Arabidopsis thaliana: one gene and its partners. The protein of the gene in region 3 purifies or fractionates together with the protein of the main gene of each other region. This does not show direct contact. Each region holds a gene or a part of one and is shown on either strand. Other genes may lie near its edges.

The links. Proteins that work in one complex are often made in the same cells at the same time.
Region 1: the proteins of AT5G41970 (region 3) and AGD2 fractionate together in Arabidopsis thaliana (co-fractionation; one large-scale study listed by BioGRID). This does not show direct contact.
Region 2: the proteins of AT5G41970 (region 3) and AT1G76140 fractionate together in Arabidopsis thaliana (co-fractionation; one large-scale study listed by BioGRID). This does not show direct contact.

What each region holds. Positions count from the first base shown.
Region 1 is NC_003075.7:16,171,142-16,176,579, forward strand, and holds AGD2 (Pyridoxal phosphate (PLP)-dependent transferases superfamily protein), read right to left. Parts: upstream 3,583-5,438; 5' UTR 3,490-3,582; coding exon 3,407-3,489; intron 3,169-3,406; coding exon 3,092-3,168; intron 2,974-3,091; coding exon 2,906-2,973; intron 2,711-2,905; coding exon 2,594-2,710; intron 2,310-2,593; coding exon 2,247-2,309; intron 2,035-2,246; coding exon 1,930-2,034; intron 1,845-1,929; coding exon 1,794-1,844; intron 1,693-1,793; coding exon 1,372-1,692; intron 1,297-1,371; coding exon 1,090-1,296; intron 1,000-1,089; coding exon 706-999; 3' UTR 540-705; downstream 1-539. Other genes in the region: AT4G33670 (NAD(P)-linked oxidoreductase superfamily protein), read right to left, coding at 136-305; AT4G33690 (G patch domain protein), read left to right, coding at 4,057-4,225, 4,320-4,602, 4,708-4,996; AT4G33700 (CBS domain protein (DUF21)), read right to left, coding at 5,406-5,438. UniProt on the Arabidopsis thaliana protein: Required for lysine biosynthesis. Catalyzes the direct conversion of tetrahydrodipicolinate to LL-diaminopimelate, a reaction that requires three enzymes in E.coli. Not active with meso-diaminopimelate, lysine or ornithine as substrates.
Region 2 is NC_003070.9:28,569,177-28,575,575, forward strand, and holds AT1G76140 (Prolyl oligopeptidase family protein), read left to right. Parts: upstream 1-1,953; 5' UTR 1,954-2,010; coding exon 2,011-2,312; intron 2,313-2,542; coding exon 2,543-2,762; intron 2,763-2,849; coding exon 2,850-3,050; intron 3,051-3,144; coding exon 3,145-3,215; intron 3,216-3,303; coding exon 3,304-3,466; intron 3,467-3,678; coding exon 3,679-4,272; intron 4,273-4,362; coding exon 4,363-4,743; intron 4,744-4,861; coding exon 4,862-4,937; intron 4,938-5,021; coding exon 5,022-5,085; intron 5,086-5,173; coding exon 5,174-5,309; intron 5,310-5,407; coding exon 5,408-5,521; intron 5,522-5,563; exon of another isoform or gene 5,564-5,610; coding exon 5,611-5,676; 3' UTR 5,677-5,860; downstream 5,861-6,399. Other genes in the region: ECH2 (enoyl-CoA hydratase 2), read right to left, coding at 6,060-6,147, 6,261-6,399.
Region 3 is NC_003076.8:16,789,210-16,793,771, reverse strand, and holds AT5G41970 (Metal-dependent protein hydrolase), read right to left. Parts: upstream 2,622-4,562; 5' UTR 2,575-2,621; coding exon 2,308-2,574; intron 2,140-2,307; coding exon 1,993-2,139; intron 1,908-1,992; coding exon 1,809-1,907; intron 1,721-1,808; coding exon 1,529-1,720; intron 1,394-1,528; coding exon 1,274-1,393; intron 1,188-1,273; coding exon 1,116-1,187; intron 1,036-1,115; coding exon 811-1,035; 3' UTR 511-810; downstream 1-510. Other genes in the region: AT5G41980 (nuclease), read right to left, coding at 1-7; AT5G41960 (zinc finger matrin-type protein), read right to left, coding at 2,904-2,930, 3,024-3,134, 3,227-3,302, 3,404-3,483, 3,578-3,799, 3,875-4,012; AT5G41950 (Tetratricopeptide repeat (TPR)-like superfamily protein), read right to left, coding at 4,412-4,522.

The DNA of each region.
Region 1 (5,438 bases), on a different chromosome or scaffold from region 3:
AAAAAGTAAATATGAAACCTTCCAATAAAAATTTTGACTTTAACGATTAAATTAGTCTCAACATTCAGAGAATCAGCAATTAGTATTGAAGAATCAGTAATCTTTAGAAAATATAAAAGAAGAAGAAGTGCTTACGGGGAGGTGTCGAAGAAGTTGATACCGAGACGGAAAGCCTCGCGCACGGTGGCGACGGCATCATCTTCGGCGACTGGACCGAAGACACTTCCGAGCGGAGAGGCACCAAAACCAACGGCGCTAACCTTAAGCCCTGTGTTCCCCAAAGCTCGAAGCTCTATTTTCGTCATTGTTGATAGGATCAACAAAAAAACTGGTTCTCGTTGATGAGAGACGCGAGAAGACAACACTTGTGTTGTGTTTTTGGATATTTTTGCCCACACGGTGGCTCAACAAGCCTAAATTACGAAAACACCCATCCCGGTCCAATTTTAGATTTATTTAACCAATCCAATTTTATATTTTTTTGACGTTCTTCCTCAGTCCAATTTAAATATTTTATTTTCCACACTAGTTCACTTATTTGCACTTTGATTTCGTTGTTAAAATACTTTGCCAAATTGCTTGAAACACTGGTGTCAAAAGTGTCTTCTACAAATTCCAGAAAACAATGGAAACGACATTATTTTAACTCAAATCATGTCATTAAAGAGGGTGATGATGATGAGGAACGATTACAAACAAGGTTCTTCATTTGTAAAGCTGCTTGAATCTTCGACATGCCTCTAAGATGTTCTCTCTGTGACCAAAGGCACTGACACGAACGAACCCTTCACCCCCTGGTCCAAACCCACTTCCTGGAGTTGTAACCACATGAGTCTTCTCCAGAATCTCAGCAAACACATCCCATGAGCTTTGGTTCGGGAAGTGAACCCATACGTAAGGCGCATTCTTTCCTCCATATACATCATACCCGAGAGATGTGAATGTGTCAATGATTATGTTTGTGTTTTCTTTATAGAATCCAATCACCTTATGCATTGCCTGCAATGATTCAAAAGACAACAAAATAAATCATTTTGCATATCTGAACTAGTGGGAACTGGTTTGAGATCTCTCTTTAGCTAAGCTAACCTCAAGTCCTTCGGGTGTAAGGCAAGCAAGAGCACCAGCTTGAGAGATATTAGATGCACCATTGAAACAAGTGCAGATAATCCGATTGAAGTCTTTGGCAACAGGGAAACCGTCTGAATAGAGTAGCTTTTTCGGGATGACAGTCCAACCAAGTCGAACTCCAGTGAAACCAGCATATTTGCTGAACGAAGCTGTCTCCATAGCGACCTGTAAGCGGTTGTACACATGAAGAAAGATGTTGAAAAATGGACCTTTTAATGTTATAATCAATCAGTCTATTACCTCCTCTGCTCCAGGGATTTCGAAGATGGATCGTGGGTTATCATCAGACATGTACATTGCATAGGCGGAATCATACACTATTATAGAACCGTTCTTCTTTGCAAACTCAACTAACTGCGTTAGTTGCTCTCTCGTGGCAGCAGCACCCGTAGGGTTATTTGGGGAACAGAAGAAAATTATATCTGTCCTGCCAACGGTGGACAAGTCGGGAAAGAAGCCATTCTCTGGAGTGCATCTCATGTACTCGATGTTTCCATACTTTTGCACATCAGTGTTAAATTGCCCAGTCTGACCCATAATAACACTGGAGTCCACATAAGCCTGTATAATCCAAAAAAAACGAGACAGCATAGTTCCACGTTAAAATGGAGCAAAAGTAGAGAAGACTACAACTGCAATTTGGTTTCTATATGCCCAATTACCGGATATGAAGGATCCTGAACAGCAATTGTAACATTGGAACCAAACATAACCTGCAAGAAGTGGAATCAAGAAACAGCTGTTCATATTTCTTAATCTTGTATCAATTACAGATGAATAGTCAGCAATAAAACAAACCTGGAGACGTGAGATATCACATTTAGCTCCATCAGAAACAAAAACGTCATCATCCCCTATGCCAAGGCCACCGTAGAATGTTTTCGCAATAGCAGCTCTCAGTGGCTTTTCACATATGTGAAATCAAGGTTAGTTTGGATAAAAACTTAACAGATTAAGCTTTAAGATTTTACATGTAAGAAACAGGTTTAAATCCATCTTCTCTTGAATTTAGCAGCAGTTCAAGACTATCCATAATAAAATTGAAGTGACGTGCAAAGGCAGATAATAAAGAAATGATAACAACGCAATAAGGTGGAAATGAAGGGTGCACTGACCTTTGCACCTTGTTCAGCACCATAACCACTATATCCCTCTATTGTTGACAACTCATGAGCTTTCTGTCAGAGAAAAAAAACATGATTAATCTCTAGAGATTACATGCCTGTGTGAATAGTATAGCAAACAAAAAAACTATGCTACCAGAATAATTTTCATTGTTAGATTACAGAGAAGTTCTCGTTTAATAATCCAAATACGCCAAAACAGAAAATATGTTATACATTTTTGTCAAAATGAACGAAATAATACATGTTAGGGCAGTGTTAGTAAAATCAGTTTAAAATATGCTAGAGCCCAGAGAAGGGCAAAGAGCACATGAAGCTAAGTTAAGATAAGGAGGTACCTTTGCCATAGCAGAAGTGATCACTTCAGGAATTGGCTCAGTTGTGTCGCCTATTCCAAGACTTATAACTTGTGCATCTGGATATTTCAACAAGTGTGCAGACCTTCTTCTTGCAATCTGTTTGCATCCACACAAAAAAATAAGAGAGAGGAGCATTATATACAGAATCAATGAGGATATATTAACTTATTACACAGATAGTTATAATATTTCAGATCACTAGAAGCTTTCAAAAATGTTAACTTGAAATGCCACTCCTTTAGGTATTTGAAATCTTAAATAGTAGTACCAAGAGAGTAACAGGTAACAAACCTCCGGGAATAGGTATCCAGCCTGAAGTTTGGACATGTTTGAATTCCGTGACACTTTGGTCTTATACTCTACATACAGAAAACAAAATCATGTATTGTAAGAAACAGATAAACAGCTAAAAGACGATAAATCATTAACTATGTTACTAATCATTACAGCAAAAACAACATGGAGTAGGAACATTACCGATCTTCTCTTGCGGCGTAGCAACACATTTGCAAGTATTGACCCGTTTTGCCATGGGTAAGCAAGCATTTCGAGTTCTGAAGCCAAAAAGGAAAGCAAACCAATAAAAAAATGAATCAATGATCATCACAAGCAAATGCACTGTTCTCTGGCCAAACAACACCATCCAACATCGACTTAAAAACCAAAGGATTGAAATTTCCAAGTAAATTCATAACATACAATTAATTTCTGGAAATGAATCCAATTTCATATTCATCCTCACTAGATTATATCAGTAGCAAACAGAGAGTAAAAGAAAACAAAACGACGCACCTGAGATTAAAATTTGAAGGGGCTAAGAAAGTGGATGAGGAAGAAGAGATCATCGAAGAAACTAACTGATGGGTCGACGACATTTTTCCTGCTTCGCACAAAGATTTTTTCAGACAAATTTGCAGAGCAAATGAACCATGGGAGATAGTTGGTGAGACTGATAAAACTAGGGTTCTTCTTCGGTTTGGTCTGAGAGGAAATTAATCCGGTTTGTTCCGGTTCGGTTTTACTAGAAATTTTTGGGAATTTTCCAATTCAGTTCAATTTATTTATTTCTCTCTCTGGCTCGGACAATGATTTTGCTCTGCGCCTGCTGGAAAACGCCGAGGAATCGCACGATTTCGTGAAGCTGCTACTAGATATCTGTATCTGAGTCAATTCGATTTCGTGGTAATTAATCTCGACCAATAGGGTTCTCCAAAAATCCCCTTTTCGATTGTTGTGTGTTTACGTAATTTTGTTTGTTTTGCTTCGTTGATTTCGTTGTCGAAAGAACGTAGCTTTAGTGGAAGTTCTGTGATTAAGAAGCAATGATTTAGATAGCTGTAGTGGTCGAATTAAGTTCAACTCCATCTTTGTTTGATCTACCCAGATTGATTTGATCACATAACTTGATTAGGCTTATACTTTTTTGTTTTACCTTGGAGTAGATGGATCTGGAAACTGAAAATCGAATAGCTTCCATTCTTTTAAGAGAAGCAGCAGAATTGAGGAGACAAGCTGAGAAAGATGGCGTCAGAGCATATCTTGAGAAGCCTAATGTAAGGCATCGACCTAACTCTAGATTTCTCACTGCTACAGTTCTTGGTGTTCAGCAAGGTATAATCTTTTGTTGACAGACTTTGCTTCTATCCAACAAAATCTAGTTTTTTTTTAGTTTATCTCTTATTTGTTTCTTCTTTATTCCATTCAGCAAACAAAGCTGTGGAAACCAATGAGATGTGGAGTCTTCGGAGTAAAGAGATTGAGTTTGGTGAAAGGCTCAAAAGAAAATCAAGAGATGAGAGCAGCAATGGTCAAAGTGAGCAGAACAATAGGAGGGATTTTTTAAAGAGATGTACTTCAGTTGATGAGAATGTTACTACTACTAGTTTATCACCATCATCAAGCCGGAGCAGAAGCAAAAGATGGCAATCAGAGGATGATGATGATGAAGGCTTAGGAGATGTCGAGGTTAAGACTTTTCTCCAATCAAGGTATTTCCATTATACTCAGATGCTGCCTGATTATTTCCTTTACAATAATGATCGAATTTGGGATCGGCTTTTGCTGATAAAACTTGTGATTCTGGTCTATGATAGGGTCAAGCGTGGCAGAGGTTCTGTTGGTGCTATGATGGATGAACCGCTACCCTGTCTTCCTGAGAGGGAATTGTCAAGAACTTCTGATACAGGAGATCGGAAGCTAGTGATTCAGCCAGAGCGATCACCTTTATTGAGACGTAGGACAGATTCTTCTTCTTCCGACGAGGAGGAAGTTTACAAACGGGCTCATAGAAAGAGAAAGGAGCATAAGAAGAAACTTAGTAAGAAACACAAGTCAAAAGAGAAGAAAAGGGATAGGAAGAAGAGAAAATATGGTAGGGACTAGATCTTTCCGGACAAAAGTAATTGCCTTTTTACACCGGCAGTGATGTTGTATCCATAAGATGATCATATTTCATTAATTCTTGTATTAGTAAAATGCGAATAAAAACTCTTTGAAGTAAGGTAGAGAGTGACATATCTTAGAGACTAATGATATATAGGTAGTAGAGACAACTATTGGTGTGGCCTATGAGGGTTCAGATTTGGTAAAACTCTTTGAAGAAAGGAGAGAGCGACATATCTTAGAGACCAATGATATATATATAGAGAGAAAACATCTTGAAACCATAGAAAAAGTTGTTGTTCATGCCTACATTGATACACATTCGCCGGACAAGTGACAGTTTGAAAGTTGAAAACAAAGACTAAAGTTTTCGACATTCATAACCAGTTCAGTGGTCATGCACTCTGTGTTAGGAGTCTTCAAAATGGTGATCAGTTTCGTC
Region 2 (6,399 bases), on a different chromosome or scaffold from region 3:
TTGTAGGAACTCATCATCTTTTTAAATTGCAACGGCGTTGACAAATGTGAGATTTCAGAGTAGTGGTGGCGTTTGAGACGTTTACATCATCTAGGAAAGGTAAATTATTTCATAAAGAAAGAGGACCCATTACTCCCTACAAGGTACAGGTAGATTGAAGTCATAGGAGAATATGGTAATGAAAAGGAGAATTTACTCTTCCTTTTTATGTTTGTGAAGCCCACACAGTGTTATTATGATGTCTTGCTTTTTTTTTTTTTTAATTTGAATCTATATACTATATAGGAAGAGTGAGTTTTTGTTTGTTTATATAGGAGTATATTTGTTTCTTTATTATCTGATGAGTTGTGTTCAATCCTATAAATGGTTCGAGAAATATCGAGTTCAATCTTAAAATGGAGTATTTTTCTTAGGCATTATTATGACGTTTTCTTTTGTTATAGTCGGAATGTATACATTTTCTGTATAGTCACACTCACATGTTTCTATAGATGTATTTGATGTAAGTGATCTAAGCTCAGTATTTTCAATTGAGGTATATATATGCTGAGTTATTGTTGTCCTTGCGCTTATTTTGATATTATAGGTACTTTGTTTTTTTCTCTTACATTTATAGTTACGTTATAGTCTTATAGACTATTCCCACATTTTTGTGTTTATTTATATCGGTTGTTGACTAATTAGGTTTTAGATGGTACCAAAATGATTTGCAATTCTATGTGGAAATATGAAAGCAAAACAAGTTTACAATACGACTTTTGCCAAGCTCTTAGCATTGTTACGATTATTGGATTCTAACGTTTTTTTCTTCTTTAGGTAAAATGAGGATTTTAATGTTGAGAAAGTAAGCTTCGGATTTATCATGTAATCGTGATGATATGACATTCGATGACTTGGTAGATATGTATAATCCTCGACGTCTCTGTTGTGCATCTAGCATGGTTTATAGGGGCTCATTAAACAGGGTGTAGATTTATACATTTACCATAAGTTTGAAAAATTACAACTCCACGTCAAAGAGAAAATAAAGAAAATAATAAGAATTCAACAAAAACTTTCCCTAGTAACCTCATCATTGGAAGTGTGTCAGTAGCATTTAAATTATCCTTTCAAGGCAAATCTCCAAACTTTTCTACGCGATTTAACTATGCGCGTGACTCCCAAATTTCCTTTCTCGTTTATTATGTAGGTCAAAGTTGCTTTTATCTTGTAATTTTTTTCTTATGTTCGGTCAATTCACTAAAACTCCAGTAATTATTTATCTGTAGTGTAGCGTATGATTATTATTCTGCAAACTCTGCGTAATAGAGACTTTTTAAAAAACAAATGCAGTAGTCCAAACCTACTTTCTAGAAAGAAAAAGAAAAAATGTTCTTTAGTTTCCCTCCTAAACGGTGAAAAGTCTCTTTGTCGCAATTTGTTTACACATATCCTGATAAAACGAGTTTATTGGGCTTTATGTTGGGCTCGTTTATTCAGCAGGTCTGAACCTCAAAACTATATTATAAAGTTTAAGCCCAAAAGGCTTTAAATATGGTATCAACAACATATGCTTATGCTATGCATCATTTTCGCAAACTATGGTGTTGTATGAATTAGTGGGTTGTTCAAGATGTTTTTTCTTAAGCGAAAACCTATTTATACAGTTTGCAATGGATATAAGCTTTTGCAAAGTCTACAAAAGTCACATCTCACCACAAAAAAAAAAGGTCTACAAAATCACATGTATCTTTGGAAAAGTATCCATGCTTAGATATTTCATATTTCTGATCCAATTATCCAAACAAACATGTCAACAGATAAAATTAAAAAAAAAGCTAATCTTTTCAAAATATACAAGTCAAACTGTCAGAATATAACAATTTAGACTAGTTGATAAAAATATATTTTTGAATAAGAACATTTTAGATTAAATTTTGGTACCATAAAATGTTTGATAGAACGACGAAACCATTTTGACATATTAACGGCAATCTCGGGGAAGAAGAAGAAGCGGTAGAGAGAAAACCGATGCTCACAGCGTTTGCAAGTCACGCGCGTTCTCACGTTTTCGCGTTTGTTACCGTCCCAACAATCACGCGCCGCCTCCGTATAAATATCTTACGCCAATCACCTCTCTCCTCTTCTCTTCTCCTAAACGAAACCTTCTCCAATCGACCCAATTCTGTTTCTCGTCGTTGTTATTGTTCGAGCTCTGCGATAATGGGTTCTTCTTCGGTGTTTGGCGAGCAATTACAGTATCCTGCGACTCGGCGTGATGATTCCGTCGTCGATGACTATCACGGCGTCAAGATCGGAGATCCGTACCGTTGGTAAGAGTTCGTTTCCAGCTGCAATTTCTCTTATTATGCTTTTAGGTTTCCGGATGAGAACGATATTTCCAAATGAGATTTTGAACACATCGCTCTGAGGAATTAGCAGACATTGGATTTGACTTGGAGATTGACCTTGAGAGAAATTCCTAAATTGTTCGTGATTTCGTGTGATTTGTTCATTTTTGCTATGATTTAGCGTTGAATTTGTCATTCTGGATTGTTGCTAGGTTAGAGGATCCTGATGCTGAAGAAGTGAAGGAGTTTGTGCAGAGCCAAGTGAAATTGACAGATTCTGTACTTGAAAAGTGTGAAACAAAGGAGAAGCTCCGTCAGAATATAACGAAACTTATTGATCATCCTCGTTACGATTCACCATTCAGGCAAGGGGATAAGTACTTTTACTTCCATAACACTGGTCTACAGGCTCAAAGTGTGCTTTATATGCAGGTATTTGTTGAGATAAAGGCGTTTGTATCAGTGCATACTCTGTTCTAGCTTTGTTTTCTCATTGAATTTGATTGCATTCGGGTTCAGGATAATCTGGATGCTGAGCCAGAGGTTTTGCTTGATCCGAACACTCTTAGTGATGATGGAACAGTGGCCTTAAACACCTTTTCTGTCAGCGAGGATGCTAAGTACTTGGCCTATGGTCTTAGTTCAAGTGGTAGCGACTGGGTGACGATTAAGCTGATGAAAATCGAGGATAAGAAAGTGGAGCCTGATACTTTATCATGGGTATGGTCTTAAAGATGGTACTGACTAGTGGGGTTGATCAATAAAGTTCTACCGTCCAGATTTCTGATAGATTTATGTTCCTCTCGTGGAACAGGTTAAGTTTACCGGCATTACATGGACGCACGACAGTAAAGGATTTTTCTATGGTCGCTACCCAGCTCCCAAGTAAGTACAAGATGTGTTGGAAGAAGCCTTTCGATATAGTTCAGAAAGCTAAGTTGATTTACCAATTTTATCTGTTTTTGTTTTGCAGAGAAGGAGAGGATATTGATGCTGGCACTGAGACTAATTCTAACCTTTATCATGAGCTGTATTACCATTTCATTGGGACGGATCAATCTCAAGATATCTTATGCTGGAGAGATAATGAGAATCCCAAATATATGTTCGGAGCTGAAGTCACTGACGATGGGAAGGTAACACACCAAGTTCTTATGTTGGTTCTTTAACTATGGTTACGCTCTTAAACCTCAAATTTATTTTTTCTGCGCATACTTACGGAAAATCATTTTGATCGTTTCCCTTTTTCTAAATGATGGTCATGACTTCAAACTGTGTTACCTAGTTTTGTAGATCTGGAACTTGGATTCTTAGTTTTAGGTCTAATCAATGTTATTTCTTCTTGTAGTATCTGATCATGAGCATTGGAGAGAGTTGTGACCCTGTCAACAAATTATACTACTGCGATATGACTTCATTGTCAGGAGGTCTTGAGAGTTTCAGAGGAAGCAGCAGTTTTCTTCCATTCATTAAGCTTGTTGACACATTTGACGCGCAATATAGTGTTATCTCAAATGATGAGACTCTGTTTACTTTCTTGACGAATAAAGATGCCCCTAAGTACAAATTAGTCCGGGTTGATCTAAAGGAACCAAACAGCTGGACTGATGTTGTTGAAGAACACGAAAAGGATGTCTTAGCATCAGCTTGTGCTGTCAATGGGAATCACCTGGTCGCATGCTACATGAGCGATGTAAAGCATATTCTGCAAATTAGGGACTTGAAATCTGGTTCATTGCTTCACCAATTACCTCTAGATATTGGTTCAGTATCTGATGTTTCTGCTCGGCGCAAGGACAATACCTTTTTCTTTAGCTTTACTAGCTTTCTCACTCCTGGTGTGATTTACAAGTGTGACTTAGCCAATGAATCTCCAGAAGTTAAGGTATTCCGGGAGGTTACTGTACCCGGATTTGACAGGGAAGCATTTCAAGCCATTCAGGTAACACACTCTCTTGTAGCGTCTTCCTGTTTCTTTCATAACTACTTTTTACTTTGCATATGTTAAAGTGGTTTCTGCTCCTCTTTATAGGTCTTCTATCCCAGCAAGGATGGAACAAAGATACCTATGTTTATTGTGGCGAAAAAGGATATTAAGCTTGATGGATCACACCCATGTTTGCTCTATGCATATGGTGGGTTTAACATAAGCATAACACCGTCTTTCAGTGCCAGCCGTATTGTGCTTAGCAAGCATCTCGGTGTTGTTTTCTGCTTTGCAAACATTCGGGGTGGTGGGGAGTATGGTGAGGAATGGCACAAAGCAGGTTCACTTGCCAAAAAGCAGAACTGTTTCGATGACTTTATCTCTGGGGCAGAGTATCTCGTGTCCGCTGGTTATACACAACCGAGCAAGCTGTGTATTGAAGGTGGCAGCAATGGTGGACTCCTTGTCGGTGCTTGCATAAATCAGGCAAGTTTATATAGCCAATAATTCAGGACAAAAACGAATAATATGAAGCTAATAATTTGTAATTTTCGTCTCATTTAGTTGCCACACTTATACATAAATTTTCAATTCTGCTGCACAGAGACCGGACCTTTATGGTTGTGCTTTGGCTCATGTGGGCGTCATGGACATGCTACGGTTTCACAAATTCACTATAGGTGAGTGAGTTCAGTTATCTGCAATTTGTTTTGTTTGATTTTTTGCTTAATGTAATTCTAACTTGAGGTGTTATGTATGTATAGGTCATGCCTGGACATCTGATTATGGTTGCTCTGAGAATGAAGAGGAGTTTCATTGGCTGATAAAGTAAGTATATGAACTTATGATATGATGTTGTATTGATTTGTTTCCCAATGCTGATACAAAGTTACAATCTGGGTGTGAATGTATAAAGGTACTCGCCTCTGCACAATGTGAAGAGGCCATGGGAGCAACAAACCGATCACTTAGTTCAGTATCCATCAACTATGCTACTGACTGCTGATCACGATGACAGAGTTGTGCCACTTCACTCTTTGAAGTTGCTTGCTGTCCGTTTCCAGACTTTATTTCTTTAATGTTTAATTTATTTTCAATCTTACCTTAAATAGCCAGCAGATTGTTAAAACTCGTATGTATACATCTGCAGACGTTGCAGCACGTGCTGTGCACAAGCTTAGACAATAGTCCTCAGATGAACCCCATAATTGGTCGTATTGAAGTCAAGGCTGGCCATGGTGCTGGTCGCCCAACCCAAAAGATGGTAATGATTTTAGAAATTCTCGTTGCTTAAGCGTTACATCATATAACATACATTTTCCCATGGTTAACTGATATTGAGATGTTCAACAGATTGATGAAGCGGCTGATCGGTATTCGTTCATGGCAAAGATGGTGAATGCTTCATGGACGGAGTAAAAAAAATTCCTTTATCTACAGGCACCAAATATCTTTTCTCAATATCTTCTGTCCAAACAAGGACGTTGTATGAGTTAGTGACAATTACATGTAAACACATGTTTCAGTTTTTTCTCAGGCTTTATGTTCCAGTTCATTGACACCCAAAAAGGATTTTCTTCAATGCATTTTGCTTCATCCGGCATGTGCATTTTGCGTCACTCAACATTTATTACAACAGTAACACGATACAACTAACCATTTCAGTAAATTGTGACCGTCATCAAAGAGTGTTTATTGATGGCTCAATGGCTCATTACGCCAAGCAAACATCAAGAGTCTTCTGACATGTTTATTACCTTTGCAATATTATGACAGCCCAATATATCTAAGGACCTAACATTCTAAAGTGACGAAGATAACCCACGAATATCAACATAACCAGCTAACACAGTTTTGTTCCTTTCCTTCACTTTCGTCTGATATATAACCCTGTGAATACATCAAAAGCTAAGTTCAAGTTTTGAATATACCAGTGATATGGATAATCTATGTAATATATCGCCAAAGAACAATACAAGGTAGAGAGAGAGACAGAGTTCTACCTCAAGCCTTCAAGCCACATTTCGGTTATCAGAGTTTCGCCAGGAAAAACAGTCGTGAGGAATCGTCCAGATATGGTTTTGACAGCAGTTGGGTCACCCTTGCAAACACACTTGATGATTGCCTTGATTGCAAACCCGA
Region 3 (4,562 bases):
TCTCCATAGAGTCTTCAGAGAAGAAGAGATAAGTGGGTTTCGGGTTTCGACGCAAACCCGATTGAAATAAGAGAGAAGAATGGAAGAATAAAAGTGAAAAATCTCCGATTTGGAGGCAATGATCATATAGATCGTTTATTGCCCTCCATATGTTCGACAATATTTCTGTTTAGTGAAAATCAATTTATAAACTGATGTTCTTATTTTTTAATTTTTATATGTCGAAATACCGTAAAACCTTATATTAGTAATAAGGTTAGATACATTTTTAGAGTTGAAATAACATGTATATCACCCCAAAAAAAAAATAAAAAAAAAATGGAAACACCAAAAATATAAGTAAATATTTAATCTTACTTTTGAAAATAGAAGCTTAGACATGAAGAAGGTTGACATAATATTTTGAATCATCTCAAGACTCCAAATGTAGTAATGGAGTTTTAACAAACATTCAAATGATTGTTACTTGATCTCTAAATTACTTAATTCATAAAAACAGTGAGCTAAAGAGTTTAATAAGTTAATTTTGCTATGTGTTATTCTGGTATAGTGTAGATAAGCACTGAACATTATTGTTGTGGTTTTCAGCTAATATTGTTTACGCTCTCTACTACAAATCTACTCCAAAGGTGAAAACGGACAAGAGGAAGCAAACATATAATATGATCTAATCAGCTTGAGACTACAAATCTAGTTCTTAAATTTTTTGTCACGAGAAGACTCAATGAAACAGAAATTGCAGAAGATAATGGCAATATCAAAACTCTCGGTCTCTCTCTATGAGTAATGGGTAAATGATTCTTTTGATGCTCAGAGAGTGAGTGCGGTTTGAGCCATGGATAGAGCGCCGTCATAGGATTGGTTTCCGCCGATAAAGCCACTCATGTGGACAAAGACACAACCGGGAATCTCAGCAGCTTTCGAGAGTTCCTCATCCCTAAGGCCTCTCCATTTCTCAGGGAGAGGCTTTCGGTTCTCAAACCTGTCTGGTGCGACCGCCACTGCTTGAACTCTCCACTGCTTTGCTCTCTCGTCCTGTTTTTTTTTTTTTTCACATTTCAAACCAGATTTAGAGATCCATTATTTGATGAAAGGTTCTATCTAAAAAGGTGTACCTGGTAAATGACGTATTTGATGAGAGGCTCGATCTTCATTTCTTGCTCAAGCTCGAACAAATGAAGCTTCCACTGCTCACAAGAGAACCAGAGTTTAATATCTTTAGACTCAAATAGTAATAGCATGGACAAGAGGAATCGAGTATTGAAACACTTACAGGGCAAAATCTATCCAATATCATGATCTCACCGCTGGGGTCTGTCTTGAATCTTTCTTCAAGACACTGCATCACAATTGATCGAGCCGGTAACCACGATCTTGCATGGAACTGAACACTCTACAACACAATATAAAAGAAACTAGTGTAAGCTTACATTTGTTTTATGAAACATGTTATGTCTCTAGGAAACTACCATTGCAATGGACATAAAAAAACTAATAAGCACATAATGTTATATAAAAGAGATCTTACTTCGAGGAACTCTTTTCCAGCTAGAGCCATTGCACGTTGGAAAGCTTCATTCTCCTTTTCTTGTGACTGGTCAGGGTCAATCCAATCCAGATTTAATCTTCCAACCCTTGGAGACAGATGTGTGTTGTTCACATATCGTGGAGGCTGATCAGTATCATACCGGTTTATTCCATTGTCCACAGCATCAATTGCCTGTAAAAATTAAGCAACATAACGTCATCAAAACAAACAAGAACTTATATCCATATGAAGAATAAACAATAGGAACTTCTGAAATTACCTCCATGAAGCTCTTGTAGACAGCTAAAAACAACCGAAGAACATCAGGGTGATCTTGTTCGACATTAAGTTCCTTAGCTATGATCTCCTTTCCAAAATGCTGAGAGTAAAACACCAACATTCAGAATTCGAAATTGACATATTCATAGAAATATCAGTGAGAATGAGAGCAAACACTACAATACCTTGTAAACAAGACCAGCACTACTGAGCTTAGTGTTGAAGCCATGTCCAAAAACCTCTTCAAAACCTTTCTGGTGATGATCATAACGGTCATGCTCCGGATCATAAACACCTCCAACATCAAGCACTGCATCAAGTTCTGCCAATATCTACATGTACCGTACAACAACATAGAATCATATCCTCCTCACAATTAACCCAGATTTACATCAAAAACCCCTAATTCCAAAATTAAGCAGTCAATCTCTAGCTACTAATCAATCTCCTAATACTCATTTCCTAAGCCAGAGCTACTTCAGGAGGATTGTTAGAGTTACCTTAGGGTCACGAGAACGGACGATATCAGCGCCGGAGAATTTATCGACGAGGCGAATCATGAAACAGCCGAGAGCTTCGTCGCAGTGAAAGCTTCCATTATGAGTACCAACTTTCTTGACGGAAATTTCAGAAGGAGAAGGAGAGGTAGCGGTAGAGTAAACCCTAACGACGCTTGAAGGAGCCATTACTGCTGCTACGAGAGGAGGAAGACGAACTTGGAACAAGGCCAAGTTTCTGATTAAACCTTTCGTTACCGAAAACATCATCTCACGAAGAAATGATAAAATGCCAAATGGGCCTCTTCCACCTATTTATATGATGCTTAAAAGTAAAGGCCCATGGGCCTTAAAATTTCTTTTGTTTCTTAATCATGTTACCAAATAACAGTCATCAAATTCAAATACAAATTTAATACTTTGAGTTTGCGGTGTATAAAAAAAATTCAAATGTGCAAAAGAGATATAATTTTGTTTTCGTCTACATCAAATTTAACCTTTTAAAATTCGGATTTTGTGGCAATTACATTAACAAAGCTAATAGCTAAAGTCTGTTACAAATATTCATTTATTCTCTTTGTGTCTTTTGCGAATTATTCTTAATTTTCATCGTCACTGTTTTTTCCCTACATTGCAAAAAGAAAAAGAAAACAAATCAAAAGTCCAGTTATAAATTGAATTTGAAAGCATTTCTCTTTTACTAAAGACACTTAGATTACCTTGAAATGTTTCTTAAAATGGATTCTTTTCTTAGATGAAAAATCGTCATCAGATGTGTTTCTGAAGAATGCAAGTGTCTCAACATCCCCATTTGCGATGCTTGCTTCAAGCTACCCAACCAAAAAAAAAAAGATGAAACACAAAGTACGTTGCAAATCAGAGTTTTAGTCAGATTATAGAAGAAAGACATAATAATGAGAACCTGAACATGAATAATGCCCAAGACAATGCTTGTAATTGGTAACCAGCTCTCTTCTGGAGAAATAGACAGATTTGAACTGCCAAATTAAACATGAATATAAACTCAAACACTAAACTAGAACAACCAGATGACCAAATTCAGACTGAACAATTATGCATCTTAAACAAGATTAATTACCTCAAATAAGGAACAAGATAAACAAGAGCATAAACAGCATAACGAGATTTTCCAGTGTCAAGCCAAGCAAACACCCAACTCTGTATTTAATCATCACAATATTTTGAATTTGTTTAGTGTTTAAACATTTAATTATAAGAGATTTACTAAGGATTAAGGAGAAATGAAACAAACCAGCCAATTGAAGTAAGGTATGAAGCTGATGATTCCCATGGCGGCTAATCTCATATCTGTTGACACAATCGCTGAGTTTTCTTCTTCTTCTTCCTCATCGTTGACTCGTTTCGCCACCGGAAAAACAAATGAACTTAGGATACACGCACCAATTGCTGTTACGAGTGGTGCGTCCTGTGAAAACTCCGCTCTGCAAATTACTCTCTCAATCTTTCTACATAGCTGAGAAAACAAAGAAAGGAACCAGTTATTGAGAAAAATATCTTGAGAGAACCATTGCTAGTTTTGATCGATCACCTTCTTAGGGTTTTGTAGAGGATAGGCTAGAGGAAGCGGCGACGGGGAAGAAGAAGAAGAAGAAAGTAGTCGGGCCTTGGTGTAGAGTGAAGCGGAAGATGAAAGTCCGCAAATCGGGAGACACGACAGAGACGCCATGATTTTTGAGCTTCGAGCTCGGTGGATCGTCCGGATTCCGGGACACGACTACGGTTACGAGAAAGCGAGAGAGGCGGATTTTTAATGGGCCGTTAAAGCCTAGACACTTATAAGCCCATTAGCCCAACATCTAATACGGCTGTACTAAAAAGTTTCCCAAGTCCGTAGTAGTATATGTTTGGAGTTTTCTTTTACAACAAGAACATACACAGTAGTTCACACTCAAGGATAATTCAGACGACAATTGGTAAACATGTAATTTTATAAATGTATTCGATGAAAATAAGAAAAAGGGTCCCAAAAAGCGTTTGAAAATGACAAAAAAATTTCGCTAAGATCATAATACATCACAAAACTACAGATAAAAAAGCAAAATAGTCATATTAAATGAAGTATTTATTAACCGGTGATAATACCGGCTAAAACATCACTCTTCCCTCTCGCATAAATTGTGTAAACCAAACGAATTGCGTCAAGCCATCCATCTAAAGACTCCCATGAATCTGCAACCTGTTATCCAATTCAATTTTTCATTTGGTTTTATTTTTAC